Neodiprion lecontei: one gene and its partner. The protein of the gene in region 2 purifies or fractionates together with the protein of the main gene of each other region. This does not show direct contact. Links are inferred from orthologs where the notes say so. Each region holds a gene or a part of one and is shown on either strand. Other genes may lie near its edges. The genes, in order: mitochondrial ribonuclease P protein 1 homolog and 3-hydroxyacyl-CoA dehydrogenase type-2.

The links.
Region 1: the proteins of 3-hydroxyacyl-CoA dehydrogenase type-2 (region 2) and mitochondrial ribonuclease P protein 1 homolog purify together in Homo sapiens (co-immunoprecipitation; 3 studies listed by BioGRID and IntAct, counting the BioPlex papers as one, with this or other methods). This does not show direct contact. The link is inferred for Neodiprion lecontei from reciprocal best matches to the Homo sapiens genes HSD17B10 and TRMT10C.

The regions. Positions count from the first base shown.
Region 1 is NC_060266.1:958,512-967,289, reverse strand, and holds mitochondrial ribonuclease P protein 1 homolog, read right to left. Parts: upstream 4,640-8,778; 5' UTR 4,334-4,639; coding exon 3,951-4,333; intron 3,877-3,950; coding exon 2,934-3,876; 3' UTR 1,898-2,933; downstream 1-1,897. Other genes in the region: F-box/LRR-repeat protein 4, read left to right, coding at 1-277, 350-587, 699-1,059, 1,122-1,449, 1,508-1,844; nuclear transcription factor Y subunit B-1, read left to right, coding at 5,087-5,201, 5,328-5,872; uncharacterized protein LOC107219454, read right to left, coding at 7,232-7,735, 7,837-8,004. UniProt on the Homo sapiens protein: Mitochondrial tRNA N(1)-methyltransferase involved in mitochondrial tRNA maturation. Component of mitochondrial ribonuclease P, a complex composed of TRMT10C/MRPP1, HSD17B10/MRPP2 and PRORP/MRPP3, which cleaves tRNA molecules in their 5'-ends.
Region 2 is NC_060261.1:5,802,160-5,810,675, reverse strand, and holds 3-hydroxyacyl-CoA dehydrogenase type-2, read right to left. Parts: upstream 4,684-8,516; 5' UTR 4,420-4,683; coding exon 4,411-4,419; intron 4,069-4,410; coding exon 3,904-4,068; intron 3,799-3,903; coding exon 3,205-3,798; 3' UTR 3,087-3,204; downstream 1-3,086. Other genes in the region: protein nervous wreck, read left to right, coding at 1-47, 144-316, 414-723, 808-1,022, 1,133-1,232, 1,345-1,479, 1,785-1,816, 2,120-2,686; zinc finger protein on ecdysone puffs, read left to right, coding at 5,857-6,090, 6,348-6,488, 7,104-7,339. UniProt on the Homo sapiens protein: Mitochondrial dehydrogenase involved in pathways of fatty acid, branched-chain amino acid and steroid metabolism. Acts as (S)-3-hydroxyacyl-CoA dehydrogenase in mitochondrial fatty acid beta-oxidation, a major degradation pathway of fatty acids.

The DNA of each region.
Region 1 (8,778 bases), on a different chromosome or scaffold from region 2:
GCTGTTTCAAGACCAAGATGCTTAGACTGGAGTTCAACCACAGTAAGCAGGACTATTACACAGAGCTGGATGCCGTCCTCCTCATCGGCACTTCGGAATTTATTCAACCCCACTTTAGATTCAACAATAAAAACTTGAGCACCTTGCTTCGGCAGCTCAACGACAGTACCCTTGATTGCGATGACGTTTATAATCTGACGCCAGATTATTTACAGACACACAAAGATTTAAGGGAGCTGAAAAACACGTTTTACAAGCACTGTCAACTCTCGAACAGGTATGTGATCCAGTTTTGCACCGTGTTTCTCGTCATTTCCAAACTCGAACTGGCAAACTTTTGATTTTGCAGAAATGTTACGGGTAGGATACACAAGGGGACCATAATTGACAGGCTAGGAACTGACTACCACTGCATACCGCCAATCGAAGAAGCAGTTAGCAGTCTGCACAGGTTTCTCCAGGAAGACTTTCCAAAATTGATGCAGGACATCGATCTTTCAACTTCCTCAAGAAGTGCAGTGGCTGGAAACAAGACTGGGAGTTCGTTACAGTCGGGTGATATTTGCGGCAGTTTTTCTGTGTTGCCCGTAAGCGTTTTTTCCGTTTTAATACATTTCTTAATAGAACAGTAATGAAATAAATTAGCCACAAATTTTTAGTATAATTCAATTACAAGCATTTATTTCACAAACCTGCAGGACGAAGCGGTACTGAAGATTCTTAGAAATCTCGATCTCAGATCTCTCTGTCGCTGTTGTCAAGTTAATCGGCATTTCAACAATATAGCAAGAGATGCACTTCTCTATACCAGCCTAAACTTGAAACCATATTGGTACTGTATTGACACAAGCGCGCTTGAAACGCTGGCCTCGAGGTGCCAATATCTTCAGCGTCTAGATCTCTCCTGGTGCGGCAACTACAACACGATAACATCTAAAGACATTCAGGAATTTCTCACGTCCAGCGGAAATCAGTTGACGCACCTTAGATTCAATTCCTGCCAGTTTGTCAACAATTCCGTGATACTGAAGGTTTCCATGATCTGCCGAAACCTAAAAGGTATTTACGTTTTCATCTCTCAATCGTAAAAGATTAATTGACCGTTATCGTTCGACGCACAGAACTTTGCCTTCGCAACTGCGTGGAGATAACTAAGGACGGATTTTGGCCTCTGGCAAACCTGCAGCAGCTCGAACGTCTCGAACTTTACAGAACGTTGATTCAGACGCCGTCGCTGTGCGCGATTCTTAAGGGAAATCGAGGCATGCGCCACCTGAACCTTGCCGCTTGCGACCACGTTCATAACATGGACGATATCGCGATGGAGGTTGCCTACTCGTGTCCTCACCTCGAAAGCGTTGATTTCTGGAAGAGCCATAGCCTGACGCCCCACGGAGTTAGAGCCCTCGCTCGTTGCACGATGCTTAGAGAGGTCGACTTCGGATGGTGGTTAGTATGAAGGAGAATTTTTTAAAAAACGGGAACTTCGAAGTTTGACTAATTTCAGCCTAGGCATGGGAGCTCCAGGGGAGTCGCTAAGAGCATTGGCTGCGTCCTGTCAGAATCTGGAGAAGGTCTTTCTCGCTGCTCTTCGCGGCCTCACCGATCGTGACCTCGAGCCGTTTTTAGCCTGCTCTAAACTCAGACAGTTGGATTTCCTTGGCGCAAGATCTCTTACTCCCGAAATATGTCTACGATTTTTATTATATTGCACTCAGCTGGAAATGATGGATCTCAGCTTTTGCGAAGGTATAAGCGATATGAAGATACACGAATGGCGTCAGCTTTATCCTCATGTATCTATTAAGCGTAGTTTTCAAGCAAGTGGATCGGTTTTTACATAGTTCATCGATGTTATTGCTCTGTTCGTCCGTTTATCAGTTGCTTTTTTTTTTTGACCATGTCACCTTGCAATAGTCCGAAATTCCCGTCTTTACAACGTATAACCATTGGAGTTTTGTCGGATGGTCTGCTTGGTTTTTTCCCTTGTAGATCAGTTCCATTTTCGGTGACATTTTACATCTTTGCACCAGGAAATCATTTGAAAAACGAATTTTCACTAGCTTGCGAAATCGACTTGGATTAATAAATTTTGGTGGACGAGTGACGATGCGTCGGGGAATATTTTATTAGAAGGTGACTCGAAATTTTTCAGCAAGCAACAACAACCTCTTCCGGTTTATTGTTTTATTCGTATAAAGATTGTTTTATTATTATTTATTATCGTGACATTATTGATAGACGCGAGTATATTTTATAATCGTTAATTTTTATCAAGTCTACACTGTATCTCCTTGAAAAACTTTTCTCTGGGATGATAAGCAATATACATCATCACTATTAAGAATGATTAGGATATTCTACATATTTAGTTCAAATTTGAAGTGTCGAATTGCCGTGGTGTCATATTATCTTCATATTAGCTCACGTTCTTCTAAGCTTGAGATCTTCGTTCGAGTAGATATACCTATGTGAGTACATGCGTATGGAGTAGTGCGTACTTAAGAGCAGAGTTCTTTCCGTCCAAAAGACTGATCAAACATGTGCTTTTTTTCCACTCTTCGAAGCAATCGTTCCTGCATCATGTGACTGAAAAAAGATCCACAGACACGATATAAAATTGTACATATCAAACGCAGCTAATATAATAAATCTGGAAAACAATTGTACCTCTGGGGCCTTAGAAAAAAAAAATATGGTGTCTGTACACTGACAAAACATAAAAATACACTGTGGTATTAATTGAATGATATATCTAAATTATTTCATTTTTGTTACAGGAATTTTTTTATTAGAGGTAACCGTGCCGCAGGATTTCATTGATAATATAAAGGTGGAAGTAAGTGTTAGCCTGTCTGCACTAATGATCAGTATATTGTTCTCATTTGTCATAACCAACAATCCTGGTCACATTATTTACAATCCGTTATTTATTACGAACTTTTCTTTTGTCTGTCTCGAAAAGTGTATGACGTGTTCAGCGAGTGTCCGATTTTCGTTTTCGTAGGCACGTATTGTCTTTTTCTTTGAAGCTCAGTATTAACCCATGAGGGAGTTTGGGGCGGAAACTGAACTTTGCCAGTTTGTAATTGGTCAAGAGGCCTTTCCAACTTCCTAAGAGGGACGTGTTTCAAGGCCTTATGCCAATCTCCGGTGGTCCTGATATCCGCCAAGATTCTTAGCACATGATTAAGTGGCAAACGTTTGCCAGAGCCTGAACCCCATAGCAAGTACTTGTCTAGAGGGAATTTGGCCATTCTCAGACCCTCTTTTTTTGCCTTTGCCAAAGAGAGGGGCTGGTTGTTTGTCTTGTCCACCATTCCGCCTATTATGTAGATGGAGTCCGGTTCGTACTCTGTCATTTCGGTGTTGCAGTGCGGCGTCAAGTAGACCAGCTTCTTTTTGTCATAGAGCTCGGTGTACGAACATTCCTTTATTTCTAGTGGAAAATCAGGCTCGTTGGCATTTGGTACAGATCTGTAAAACTTTTCCATAACTACCGAAAATTTATTTACATTGCAAAAGGTGATGTAAAATGGATCTCGGAGTACGCGATTCTCCGCAAACAAGAAGACGAGCTGTTTGGCGCATTCTGACGACTCGCGCACTGTCATGTGTTTGTCGTATCCGAGGTCTATTATCACTTCAGGACCATGGATCTTGGCCATCATCATACGCGAGTGGTAGAAGCGATTCATCGCTGTGTCGTATATTCGCAGGAAAATTGTGTTTTTAAACAGCCTATACGCCATCTGATCGACTTCTTCCCTCCCATGTTCCTGCAGCTTCTGTTCCCTCTCTATCCTGGCTAGTTCTTTTTTCTTCCTAAAGTTTTCTTGGGTCATTTCAAGCTTGAAGAGGTACATCAGATATCGACTGCAAATTGAAATTGACAAGTTCTTATTTATCTCCGATCATTTTTAATGTAAAAACATATTAAACAAAATTACCTTCTCGCAGATCTCGTTTCATGCCTGATCAATTGCAACCAATGTTGAGGCTTTAGCTCCTTGGGTATCAGTCTGCCGTTCTGTCTCATCACCTCGACTTCGAGCTGGATCACTTTGTAAAGTTTCTCCATCTCCGGGTCCGAGTCCATCATAGCTTGAAGCTGTTCGCCGCTTACAGATATTGTGACATTTTTCTCCAGATTCTCCTGTGTCTCGCCTTCTTCGGATATCTTGCCGACTTTCGTACAAAAACGTCTTTTCGACGTGTGGAGAATATCGCAGGCACTCAGCTGTGCCTCGATCGCCGGCCGGCAATTTCGTCTTGCGGTCCACCTCAGCGGCTTTTTCGTCAATGTCAGACAACGCAGTACTCGATTAAACATATTGGCTAATTTGGAAGTTTTATAGCTATCAAAAAATCAGGATTTTCGATTCATTTGTAGCCAAGTTGAATTTGCCGCATGCACCGCGATTATTTCTTAACCTAACATTCTTTCCAATTTATTACTCCTCTCTAAATATTCCGAATTGACAGCTCTTGATAATCGAGCCAACGTGATTATACTTTTGTAGTTTGGCAGTTTACAAGAAAAGGGTTCGCGAGTTTTAATACTTCGAACGCCTTCGTCTGCTTATTTTGTTTTGTGTAATACGGAAAATCGTTGAAGTGCGTGAAAGCGGACCACGGAGTAGAATACAATTTAAGACACTACGGATCCCGTGAAAACAGTCCAAATGCTGAGGCTACGCCAGACTCACTGCGTCACCTGTTGGTGGTTGTCGACTCTGCTTGACGGACGCGTATCGAGGATATTGCAAATTGTGTTAGCAAATACAAAACTGATACGGACAATTTTTTATCCTTTCGTGTATAAACAGACGAGGAAATACAGCCGTAAGTTGAACAGAACAGATTAAATCACCCTAACTCACATCGAGCAAACTGTTGGATAATTACACGTTGACAATAATAGTATAACCTAACCTAGATGCCTTTATTTACGCTTTTATGCTTGACGTAGAAACGTCAAATATGCTCAAAGCGAAGTTATTCTATTGAAAATGCATAAAATGAGATTGTCAATGACGGACTAATTCTCGTTAACCTATTTCACAGCCTAAGGATAATACCGAATATGGAAAACAGCGGGGAAAGTGGCGATGACGGTGGGCCACTTGGCACTTCAGCGTTTCTTGGCGGTGGAGGCGTGGGAGCTTCTTATATCGGTGTCCAGTCCGATGACTTGGAAGGTACGTTGAACATTTTTTGTAGAGTACGAAGACCTTAATGCGTTTCCAAAAACAAAACGATGTCGTTGACGGTGCTTCAACAATTAGTAGCTATGCAATTTATCATATAATTATCACCGGCGACAGATGATCCTGAAAATACAGACGACTCGAACCACGGAGGAGGAGATCCTCTGCAGGGAAGAGGTGGTGGGTGTCCTTTGCGGGAGCAGGATCGCTTTCTGCCGATTGCTAACGTAGCCAAAATAATGAAACGAGCAATACCGGAAGCTGGCAAGATAGCGAAGGATGCCAGGGAATGTGTTCAGGAATGCGTATCTGAGTTTATATCTTTCATAACATCCGAAGCGAGCGACAGGTGCCACATGGAAAAGAGAAAGACCATTAACGGAGAGGATATACTGTTTGCTATGACCACCCTCGGCTTTGACAATTACGTAGAGCCACTCAAAGTCTATCTACAGAAGTATAGAGAGGCTACCAAGGGCGATAATCCGGGATCTAGTCCGGGCGTTGTGCCCGGTAATGGAAAGTCGGTTGATCAGCAAAGCACCATTTACGACGACCAATTGTTCACCATTGCTACGACTACTGGCAATGCCACAACTTCGGATGCTCCCGTTATATACAGCTACGCACCTCCTGATCAAATGCAATTTCAACTTTCCTGAGTAATACGCTAAGGTATCTTATACATATTTTACAAGGCTGACATTTAATTTCACAAGATTGAAGCAGGGGCCTGAATTGATGAACTCTAAAGACCTGCTACTTCGTCTTTTTTCGAAATATGTCTATGATTAAAAGAATGGTAGGGGGGAAGTTCCGTTTTTTCATATTTTTTTTTTTTTTTTTATTTATAAAGATTTCATTTATTATCATCACTATGATTTCTGCTTTCTTGCCTTTTTTTTCTTTCTTTTAAGATATGTCACACTTACTGAAATATTAATTATCTACGCGCCGCCTCCGGCTTCTTATGAAAGTAACAACAATTTTTCTTTATAACCATGAATTTTTCTTTTGTCTGGTTCCTTTTTTTTCAAGCGAAGGAAGATTCTTTTATAAATAAAATTCCTATATTATTTCAATCATAGTATATATAACATACTCCCTAAAATCGCTAGGCAGTAGATATTGGTATCTAATATCTTTTGCTTGTCTATTCGTACACACCAGTGCTGATTATTATTGTTATAATTATTATTCTTTTCCTCAACTTTGTTCTACTCTTAGCAATGTGATAAATTAACGTAGCGGTATGATATATATATATATATGTACGTATGTATACATGTCAAATTTTTTTCTTTTAACCAACAGGCATAATTTTTTCATATATGTGAGAAAATTTAATTTGCCCTAATTTCAATGGTATTAACGTCACGGAAGTATATGGGCAGTAGCATCTAATTTTCAAATCTCCGGACTCTTTGAATAAGAGTTTGAATTAAAAAAAAAAAAGCAGAAAAGTTGTATAGTACATACACATATTTATAATGAACCAAAAGAAGAACAATCAAAAAAATAGAACAAACAATTAAAAATTATGAGACAAGTCCATGGTATATTTGATAACTTTGATTTTCCAGCTTGACGCGATTATTTGTCAAGCTCAGTCGTGATTGTATACCTATTATAGTATAATTTGCAAAAATGGTGCCGCACCTAGATTATAGAGCAGGCTTAGTGAGTTAAAAAAAAAATCAAATTCTTATTGCTTATGCAATTTAGCTTAAAAAGTAATAACGGATATTTAATATCAATAGATTATATTGAATTGGATTAACAATAATAATCTTTAGAAAAAGAACACGCGGCTTAGGTGTAGTCAATTCGAATTTGTCATATTAATGTACGTATAACATATCACTCCGTTCCGTTACACTATAAAGAGATTATTTGGATAATCGTAGAAAAAACATTGTCAGAGGCATCTGTTTAGTCGAGAGTATATCTGGGAAACTTGGTGGCGGGATGGCTTTTCCAAGCATTCTTCTTCTCTACGATTTGGACCCTGAAGTAGACGGTCATTCGGATAGTTGAGCCGCCGACAGAAGAAGCTCTCGCCCTTTCGCCGCTGGAGGGGGAGGAGAAACGGTCGCGGCAGCTGATCTGAGCGGCGGCAGGAGGGAAGCAGTTAGAAGAGAAGGAGCCGGCGGAACATTGTTCTGCTCCTTCGCCGAAGCCTTTTCCAATTTATCACCTTTCGCCACAGCGGACGACGACGACGAACTCCACTGGCATTTACCGCAGTGGCACAGGCACAGACACAGCAACACTCGCAACAGGCAACACAGCAAGCCTGCGCACAGGAGAGACGGACCCACCAGCCTCAATTCCGAACTCTGGAACCCTTTTTCACCCGTGCCCACAAACGATATCACCAGACCCAAAGCCGTCGTCCCAAGTCCGGCATAGAGCACCGTGTTCACTGCTGCGCTAACTTCACCTCTCCGTCGACCGCCACCCCACTCCTGCCCGTCTTCTTCTTCCTCTCCGCTGCTTCCGTAGCAGTAGCTGGCGTCCCGTATCTGGGAATAGAATAGTTTTCGACTTCCAAGTCTTTTGTTGCGTTCGTTGCGATTGGAAATGAACTGGTAAGCGTTGCTTGAAAATACGCCAAGTTACCTACCCTGTTTCTTTTCATCCATCGTCGGTGTGCCTCGCACTGTTTCGTCTTGTAGTTGAGACCGTCGCCGGCGCGTGAACCGATCGGTGATACGGGTGTTAGAGGAAGGGGCGATGGTCTGCTGCATCCCTGCCATGCTGCTTTACCCTGAGCCTGGCTTTGTCCGCTGCACTGAAATCGTCAAAATTCGCTTTCAGACGCGTAGTTGAACGAATATTGATTAGGACAGGATACGTAGGAGGGAGTGGACCAGCTTTCCAATTATCAACCACGTATTTATGTCTGATTTACAAATCACGATTTAGAGGAAATTTCACATCAGCTGGTAATTGAAATTATTCAGATGTTCGTTCGGGATCATAGTATGTAGACTTCTGGGTGTTTCTACATTCGCGAGGGATATAAACACCGTATTACATCTTACTTACCTCTTAGACATGAACAACTAGATTACAAAATTACACAGACACGACACGTTGCTTACATAAATAATTGACAAATTTTAAAAACAAGCCAGAGAAAGTAAGGAAGAAATATCGTTACAGGCATATATCCGCCTATTATACTCGTGCGTACACATATCACGTTATGTATATGCGTACACATGTCGAACACACCAAGGCATGTACGAGGAAGAAAGGTCGAAAGCGCGTCCGATCTATACGTGAAAATGGAATAGGCTAATTCGCAGTGTACTCACCCCGTATATGTAGGATCTAGGGGGGTAGCGGGGTAGTGGCGGAATAAGCCGGGTGGCCAAGTTCGAAGGTAGTTCTCTAAAGTTTACACCACCTCCCTTACCCCCCCTTAATCGCTGCTTCTCCCTTCTTATTAATAGAGCAGCCTGCATTCCGCTCATTCATTCACTTATTTGTGTTTAGATGTGTGTGTGTGTGTGTGTGTGTGTGTGTGTGTGTGTGTGTGTGCGCGCGCGCGCGCGTGTGT
Region 2 (8,516 bases):
TGCGGAAGAGGCAGATAGGCAAAGGCATGACAGTACAGAAGTTGATGGTAAAGGACAGAAAAAAATTGTTCCTAATCGTTGACTACTAAGTTCTTAGCTGTTACGTTATTCATTGCTGATTACTTGAAAAAATTTTTTTTAAGCAATGTTGGAACAAGAACAGCAACGAATAGAGCAACTCACTGCTGGTTGGGATGATGCAACTGCAGTCGACTGGGATGACGATGACAAAGCTGATGCAAATCAAGCGCAAGAGTCATCAGAGGTCGCTTCTAACCAGCAAATATACAAATGCACAGCACTTTATTCATACACAGTCAGTATATTCGTATTCTGAAGTGTAAATTAATAAAGACTTACTAACGAACAAGATGGTGGAGTAATGGGTGAATAAAAAACTGATTTTCACCTAGGCACAAAACCCTGATGAACTATCGATTGTTGAAAGTGAGCAACTCGACGTTGTCGGTGAGGGTGATGGAGATGGATGGCTTCGAGCACGAAACTACCGTGGTGAAGAGGGATTTGTGCCTCAGAATTATCTAGATGTTGAAAGAGACGTCGACACTACAACTGGTTTAAGTTCACAAGGACCTGGAACTCTTGTTCAGCAAATCTCATTCTCCTCAGTAGATTATACTATTGATGACCATGACGCTGTTGACCCTGATATGAATTTACAGGACACAACTGAAAACACAGTCATAGAAACCCACATAAATGGTAATTATTAATGATATTCATTAATCATTTCTGACTTGGACTGTGTTACTAGTAGAGCAATCCTACATTTAAAATGCATTCCAGGTACATCACAGTACTGCATAGCGTTGTACGATTATGATGCCAACAGTGCTGAAGAGCTCAGTTTCATGGAAGGAGATGTGATGCGAGTTTTAAGAAAAGAACCACACGATGTCGATGATGGCTGGTGGGAAGGAGAACTACGTGGCCAATGTGGCATTTTTCCATCTCTCATAGTTGAACCATGTGCCGCTGATGGATCGCCCTTGACACCGCAGGTAAACTTTGAACAGGATTTGATTCGATAGAAAATTTTGAGACCAATCTAAATCAAGATATGACATGTAAAACTCATAGAAATAGTGAAATCATTTTGATTTCATTACAGGAGGACAACACACCGCCAAGTTCAGCACCACCTGTATTTACACCACCTGAAATACCAGAGTTTTTGTTATCTGATGACATCACTCAACCTATTCCACCTGGTAATAACAAATATTATTAACTAAGTGAACGTCTAACAAAGATGACATTCACATTTATCCTACAGTAAAGACCTATGAAATTCCTTTATTCCTCATCGCTCTGTTTGTGTAGAGTTTTCTGAAAATATGCCGAGTCAAGTGATGAGCGATCAACAGGGCTTTGCAATCAAATTATCTAAGAATCAACACGACCATTACGGGTCACAGTTTGGAGACGATGTTGATACCCAGCCACCAGGAATAATAGGTACTTTCAAAAATGACAAATACACCGAGTGCACGTTGATTTTTTTCGTTGGGATCCTGTATGTACTTGAAGAGTACCAAAGTTGAAGTCCTAGAATTCATCAATTTTTGGCAACGAAGTAAATTTTTCAAATAATCATTTTTATCGATAAAATAACTTACATAGAATACTCTTTTCTTTTGGTATGCAAGTTCATAGAATATCATTTTATTTTCTCTCTCGTTCTCTTTTTATTTATTCATGTGGTAGCCGATGTTTTTCATGTGTTTACATTTTCAATAATAAATATTCTCTCGCTGCTCAAGTTGTGGAAGTTACTGATGAATCGGTTCCTCAGGTAAATCAAGAATTATACTGAAATAACTCCCAAGTAAGATTTTGACATCAGTAAAAAAAAAAATGTTCAGACAAATCCAGTGATGTATCACTGGAATCTTGGCTAACAAAATTGTAAGAAATAATATTGGACCAAAACATTAGTCAAGTCAGAGTAGTAAAAACAATCGTGCACACAAATGTGTATAATATCAGACAGTAGAGGAAATGTCTCAACAGAATCTTATTCCACTTTAGAAATTGCGCATAAAGCTATAGATCCTGTCTAACATATTGTAAATTATGACTTAACTTTGGATCGTAGGAAGATGAGAATCAACAAGAGCAAGAATCTGATGTGGAAGTTCAAAGGATAGTGTCCTCTCAAGAAACTGACGAGTTTGGTTTGGGTGTAGCACAGATAGTTATTACCGCAGCTACGCCTATGGAAGAAATCGAGCGATCGTTTCCTAGTAATGGGGACGAAGCTTCCGAGGAAACAAAGGACAAAGCTAAAAAATCTTCAAAAGATTCAGTTAAGAAAACAGCAGAAAGTGACCTTCAGGAACAAGTTGACGTACAACAACGAGACGAGGTGGAGGTAGTAGAGGAAACTGATGAAAAATCTGTCGTCGACGATTTCTCTGCTGATTCAGCCCCCTTTCCAGTAAGCAGCAGCTCTGGTAGTGAGGCGGATTCAACATCTGGGCCCAGCACTGCTGAGAACTCACAGTCTTTGGTGACGCGTGACACAGAAATTGATTCTCAAGTGGCAGATATGCCAGACATTGTCCAAGAAAAGGTAATCGTTGGAGGAAGAGCGAGCATTCCAGACGAACTACAACCAGATCAATTAGAAAAACTTCAAAACTTGAAAGAATCTAATGCCTAGGATTGACCTGGCCTCGGAGAAACAACAGAATGTCCCGCCTTAACAGAAAAATTGGCTCTTCCGAAAAATCATCAGTACAAATTTCAGCACTTGTTGGAATTTTGGAATTCTCCTGAGGTTCTTGGAAAAAAAGACTAATCATACTGTAACTAAATATTTTTATGTTAATATTATGTACACAATTTTTGCTAGCTAATACTCTAGGTGAAAATAGTTAAAAAGTAAGTTGCGATTTTTGCAACATATTTACAAGATATTAATATACAGACTTCAAGTAATAAAGAGAATTGTCGATACCTGTAATATAGCTCTCAGATAATTTTCCGAACGCCTTCATAAGTCTTGTGGGATTAGGATTGTACGGGTGGTGGCTTTCCGCATTTCAAGTGGAATATCTCAATCAATGTCTGTATGACTCGAGCTGCTAGCTCAGATCCATTTATTTATTAATAACAATTATTCACATAATTTATTCAACGTAATAAATAGATCTGTAATAAAAGGAGAACCCATTTACTTTATGCCTGCATTCTCAAGGCACCGTCCAGTCTTATGACTTCGCCATTAAGAACTGGACTCTCGATAACCGATTCTACAAATTGTGCATATTCAGCAGGAGTTCCCAGTCTTGGAGGAAAGGGTATCGAGTTTGCCAGAAAATTTCTCACTTTCTCAGGCAGTCCTTGTAACAGTGGCGTATCGAACAACCCAGGTGCAATAGTCACAACGCGAATACCTTGAGTTGAAAGATCTCTGGCAATGGGAAGAGTCATGCCAGCCACAGCAGCTTTGCTTGCTGCATACGCAGCCTGGCCGATCTGTCCATCGAAAGCTGCTATGCTAGACGTGTTGACTATGACTCCCCGCTGCCCATCTTCGTTAGGTACATTCTCGCCGATAAGACCAGCTGCCAATCGAATTACGTTAAATGTTCCGACAGTGTTGACCATCAGTACATTTTCAAAATCACTCAATTCATGAGCCCTCTTCTTATTGAAATTGTATGTTTTATAAGCTATCCCGATACCAGCACAGTTTACGACCACATCTAATTTACCAAACTTTTCCTTCACCAAGTTCAATGCTGTTTTGACATCTTCCTCTGATCTTACCTGGGAATATGTTGTTCATTTCAATATTTTCAATAAAGATCATACCTAATATATTATAAACTATAATTTTTGAAACATCAACTTATGATTCAATTGAAAATTTACATCAGTTGGGGAAAATGCTGCAGATGGTCCAAGCTGATCTGCTATCTCATGTGATTTAGATGTGGCAAGATCAGCAATGACAACTTTTGACCCTTGCTTCACAAATCTTTCGACCGTCGCCAAACCCAGGCCGGATCCCCCTCCAGTCACTAAAGCAACAGCTCCCTGTTGAGACAATTGATAAAAGCCCAAATAAAGTACTCAATCGTCGCAGAAAAAACTTGCAGATTTTTGCCCCCCAGTCAAGTTCATAGGTCGAACAAAATGAGAAAACGCCTAATATATTATTGAACTATTGCACTCTTAGGCGCGATTATTACAACAATCGACCATCTAGTAATTTTTATTTGCAGGGATGGAAGGTGGGTAATCTAAGCATCGTGAGAATTCACTCTTTCAACGATAAGCGTTACATTCATAATTCAATATGCATTTTTCAAAAAAGATGAACATACCGGCGTTCGGCTGTTGGTCAGACATAATTGACTTAGTTAAAATTTATCATACCTTCAACATGTTCCGTCTGCGGTAGAAAAGTTGGTTCAACAATGACGGATCAAAATGATACTGGTTCTTAACTAGATCGTTCTCGTTGTACTGACGATAATTATTCAGTTCTTATCAAAACATGATTAAGCTGTTTATTTTTTCCACTTCTACAAACCACGTGTCCTTCAATTACACTTTACTACTCCGTGATTTTACTACATGTCTAACTAGCGCGTGTGATGTGTTGTATCTCGAAGGGTCGATTCTCCACTCACTAATCACTGGTGATTTGAGACACGAAAGTAATTCACAGACAATTGGACAACTATTGAATAGGCGTGGCCAGAAATGAGGTAAGCAACATGAAAATGTTTCTAAACAGAATGTATTTGTAGGTTTTATCGGAAGCAAAATCACATCTAAATAATAGTCACATTGTCACTTTATTTTGCACGTAATATCGATAAAATAACGAAACAGAACCCGTAAATATCGGCCATGTTAATGTTCGGTATAGAGACGCTTTGGAATCTACCTATTAAAGCTACCTATCTAACTGTCGAATTGGCGAATATGTTCTCGTACGTAAGACGAAATTTTCAGGTCGAACTTGAGCAATGGATTTCGGTTCCCGGATTTATTTCTATAGTCCAAATTCGAAACATACCTTTCTATTTTTCATTATTCATCTTATATGTACTTTGTTTGTGCAATGGTTGACTCTCTTATTTCCCCGCTACCAATGAGCGATCGTGTTGAGGTTGGCCAACTTGAAGTGAATTGAGTGGGTTGAGGACGTTATTGACCCGGCGGGTTGTCCTCCATTTTTTCCTGCACGAAGCTTCCGTTTGTGTCATCTTTAATTTGATATTTATACCTGACCTGAGATTATTGTGACGGAAAAAATATCATTTTTTTGGTGAGTAGATGTTGTTTTTAATGTGTGACGAAAAATAAACCACAGACATCCGGCATTGACTCGGCATTCGTGATTACTTTACATTTTTTTTAAACATTCTTTTCAATCGTCTTGGTTATATCCAAGCTATCTGTCGGCAACCATTTGCAACTTTAGTATACCTGCTACTTTTACCAAGGTTCACAGCATGCACATTCTTTCTTTTCCTTCTATTATAGCGTGAATCAAGTCACGAAGAATTCAAGCTTTTTCCCGCATAATCTATTTCTGTGGAATTTTTTCACTCAAAGATATTCTTGCCGAAATTCGCATAAAGACTCAGCAATCTTATTTTAAGTAAAAAAAAGCAACTATTTTTCCAGTGCACCAAAGTTTTTTCATACATTAGGCTAATACTGAAGGTTTAACATAATATTTAATCACATATGGTAGCAGCTGTTCGCTTCGCCTTGGCTCAGCTATAACTAGCGGTGCATAAGAACGAAGTTGCTATTTGCCATGCTATGATATGATACGAATATAGAGGTATTTTTGTTTCAGACAACATGTCGTTCAACCGAGGAACAAAGAGGGATGCTTTCGGGAATCGTGGATTCAATCGGAATCCTGGAAATGCTGGGGGCGGGGTTAATCCTTGGGAAGGAGGCATGATGCCTGGGCGTGGAATTTTGCCTACACCAAACAACAACCTTGCTCTTGCTTCACCGCAGGCTCAACTTGCGATAGCCAGCAATCTTCTCTCTAATCTACTCCGTGGTCAACAAGATGTACAACCGCAGGTAATATTTTAACTCTCAGGATTCCAAAGATTTGTCAATCTCAGAGTTTTAAGGAAAACAGCAGTGAGTAAGTCAGCTCCGAACATTTCCAGCTCAACTATTTGAGAATCGTATTCATTCTATTTGAGTGCCGTTTTTTTTTTTTTTTTTTTTTTTTTACCTATATTGACGTTATTTTTGAATTTATTGTAACATACTCAATTTGATTTAGAACATCAATAAATGTTTTGATTTAAGTTTTGTCCTGTACATGTTAGGTGCCTTCGTTGTTAAGTCTTGGAAACAACTTTGGTGGGCCAGGGCCAAATTTTCGAGGTCAACAACCTTTCGGACCTGGTCGTTTTAATGACCGTCCAATGCGTCGTCCGATGGAGAACCGTCGCTCAGAGCCCTACAAGGTATGAATTGAAATGAATATGCTGATTATTTCATTCTTGTGAATTTTACAGTAAATTTTTCGATATCATTCCTCAATGTGACGAGTTGAAGAAACTTTTAACTACAGTGTTTTTTCTTTCTCTCTCTTCCTTCCTCTCTCGAGTCCTGGTTCTCACGAAGAATTGTTGGATAGAAGCTTCAAGAATAATCTTTGAATATGTGAAACTTGTCTTCATTTTGATCTGTTCAACTTTTATGTAGTTTGGTGGACATTCACTCCTGCTCATGCGCAGATATATGGTATCTGCATAACCATCATTTGTTTCTTAGACAAAAGTGGAAAATTGCAAGTATTTGCTTTTGTTGCCCCACAAACATGTAAAACGAATCTCCGATAGTATTAGACACAAATGCGCACACATACACGCATTCAATCTCTTTATCTTTCTATCAACTGAGAAAAACTTCCCTAATTGGTTTATGTTATTACACTCAACCTTCTTACACGGGCATGTATTTTCCTGCCCTAAATATCCACTTGGTTATATAAGAATCAAATTCGATTCAAGAAGAATCGTTTCACGGCCAATCAGAAACTTCTTATGACCATTTGGTCATTTAACCCAAATGATTAGATGGGCCCTCGCGCCCGCGATGGCCCTGCTGGGCGACGTGGCCAATCTGCGCAACAATCTCGTGCAAACCAGTCCGGCAATCAACGTATCAATGGAAACCAAAATCAGCATCGCAACGATAAATCTTCTAAACCAAATCCTGCCTCTAAGCAAAATCAAACTGCCACTGTCAAAAAGGAATCACAGGATGTTAAGACTTCTGATATTGAAAAAGCAGATACATCTGATTTGAAAAGGTAAGCAGCTGGTGATTGCGAATAGCTTCTTCAGTCTTCAGCCAGTCTTACTCTATCATCTTCTTGGGTGTTTCTTCCCCAAACAATTAAACGAAAAACGCAATCGCCAAACCTTTCTCTCCTACCGACCACATTATCTTAGTCAATGGACCATTGTCATCTACGTTGACTATGTAAAACAAGAAAAATATTTTCCCTTAGCAAGAGTTTATGGAACTTTGCAGGAAATTAAATCAGTTACATCTGCTAATGGAGAAAAAAATCAAAATTGATAATGCCATGATTCCTTGCATCCAACCATTCCTATACTCTATCTTCGTTACATTTGAAAGTTCTCCTACGAAATCGCCAATCTTCGATTATCCAAGGAATGTATGCACTTCAGTTTACATAATCTTCAGCTAATGAGACATTCTCCCAAATTTTCCATTTTCGACAGATGACTTGCTATATCAATTGTTGTTATTATTTAAACTGAAATCCAAGTGTCGATTACATACAAGCATATAAAACATCATTCAGTCTGCTTCAGGATTCGAACTCTTTAGTTTGTTCAATATTTTGCGTGCAGCGTCGTTCTCTAAATGGATTATGCCTGAGTATTTGACGTTTATGATTATTTAAAGTTTGAATGTTATCAGTAACATTTGAGATGGATTTCAATCAAACTTCACTCATGGCCGAGTCGGATTTCATCCTCGAGTTAATGGGCATCTGTTAATGATTCAAGTTTAGATTTATAATTATCGTACGTGGCTATTGCAAAACAAACCCTTTTAGAGTTTCGTTGGTCTAATGAATCTTCATATATTTAAAGATGGAATTCCTCATCTACATAGTCGGCTTGTTGAAAAGCTGTTATATTTATTCTTCCCTGGAATTCACTGATAACGCGATGTAATTTGTGTAGCAAAAAAGGTAATTATATGTATATTCTTGAATAGGATCAAAACTGAACTCAGTGACTACTAACTGTTGATACAATTGGTGTTAAGCTTATTGACTGTAGAAAGTTACTGAATTTTTCTAATACATTTTATTGTGAATTTTTCAATACAATTACATTTCAACAGATATGTATTTTAGTGTCATGTTGATAAGCAATTAACGAAATTGATCTCTTAACTCTTTAATAGGGATGAAGAAGTCAACCAAACATTGAAAAAATAAATATATG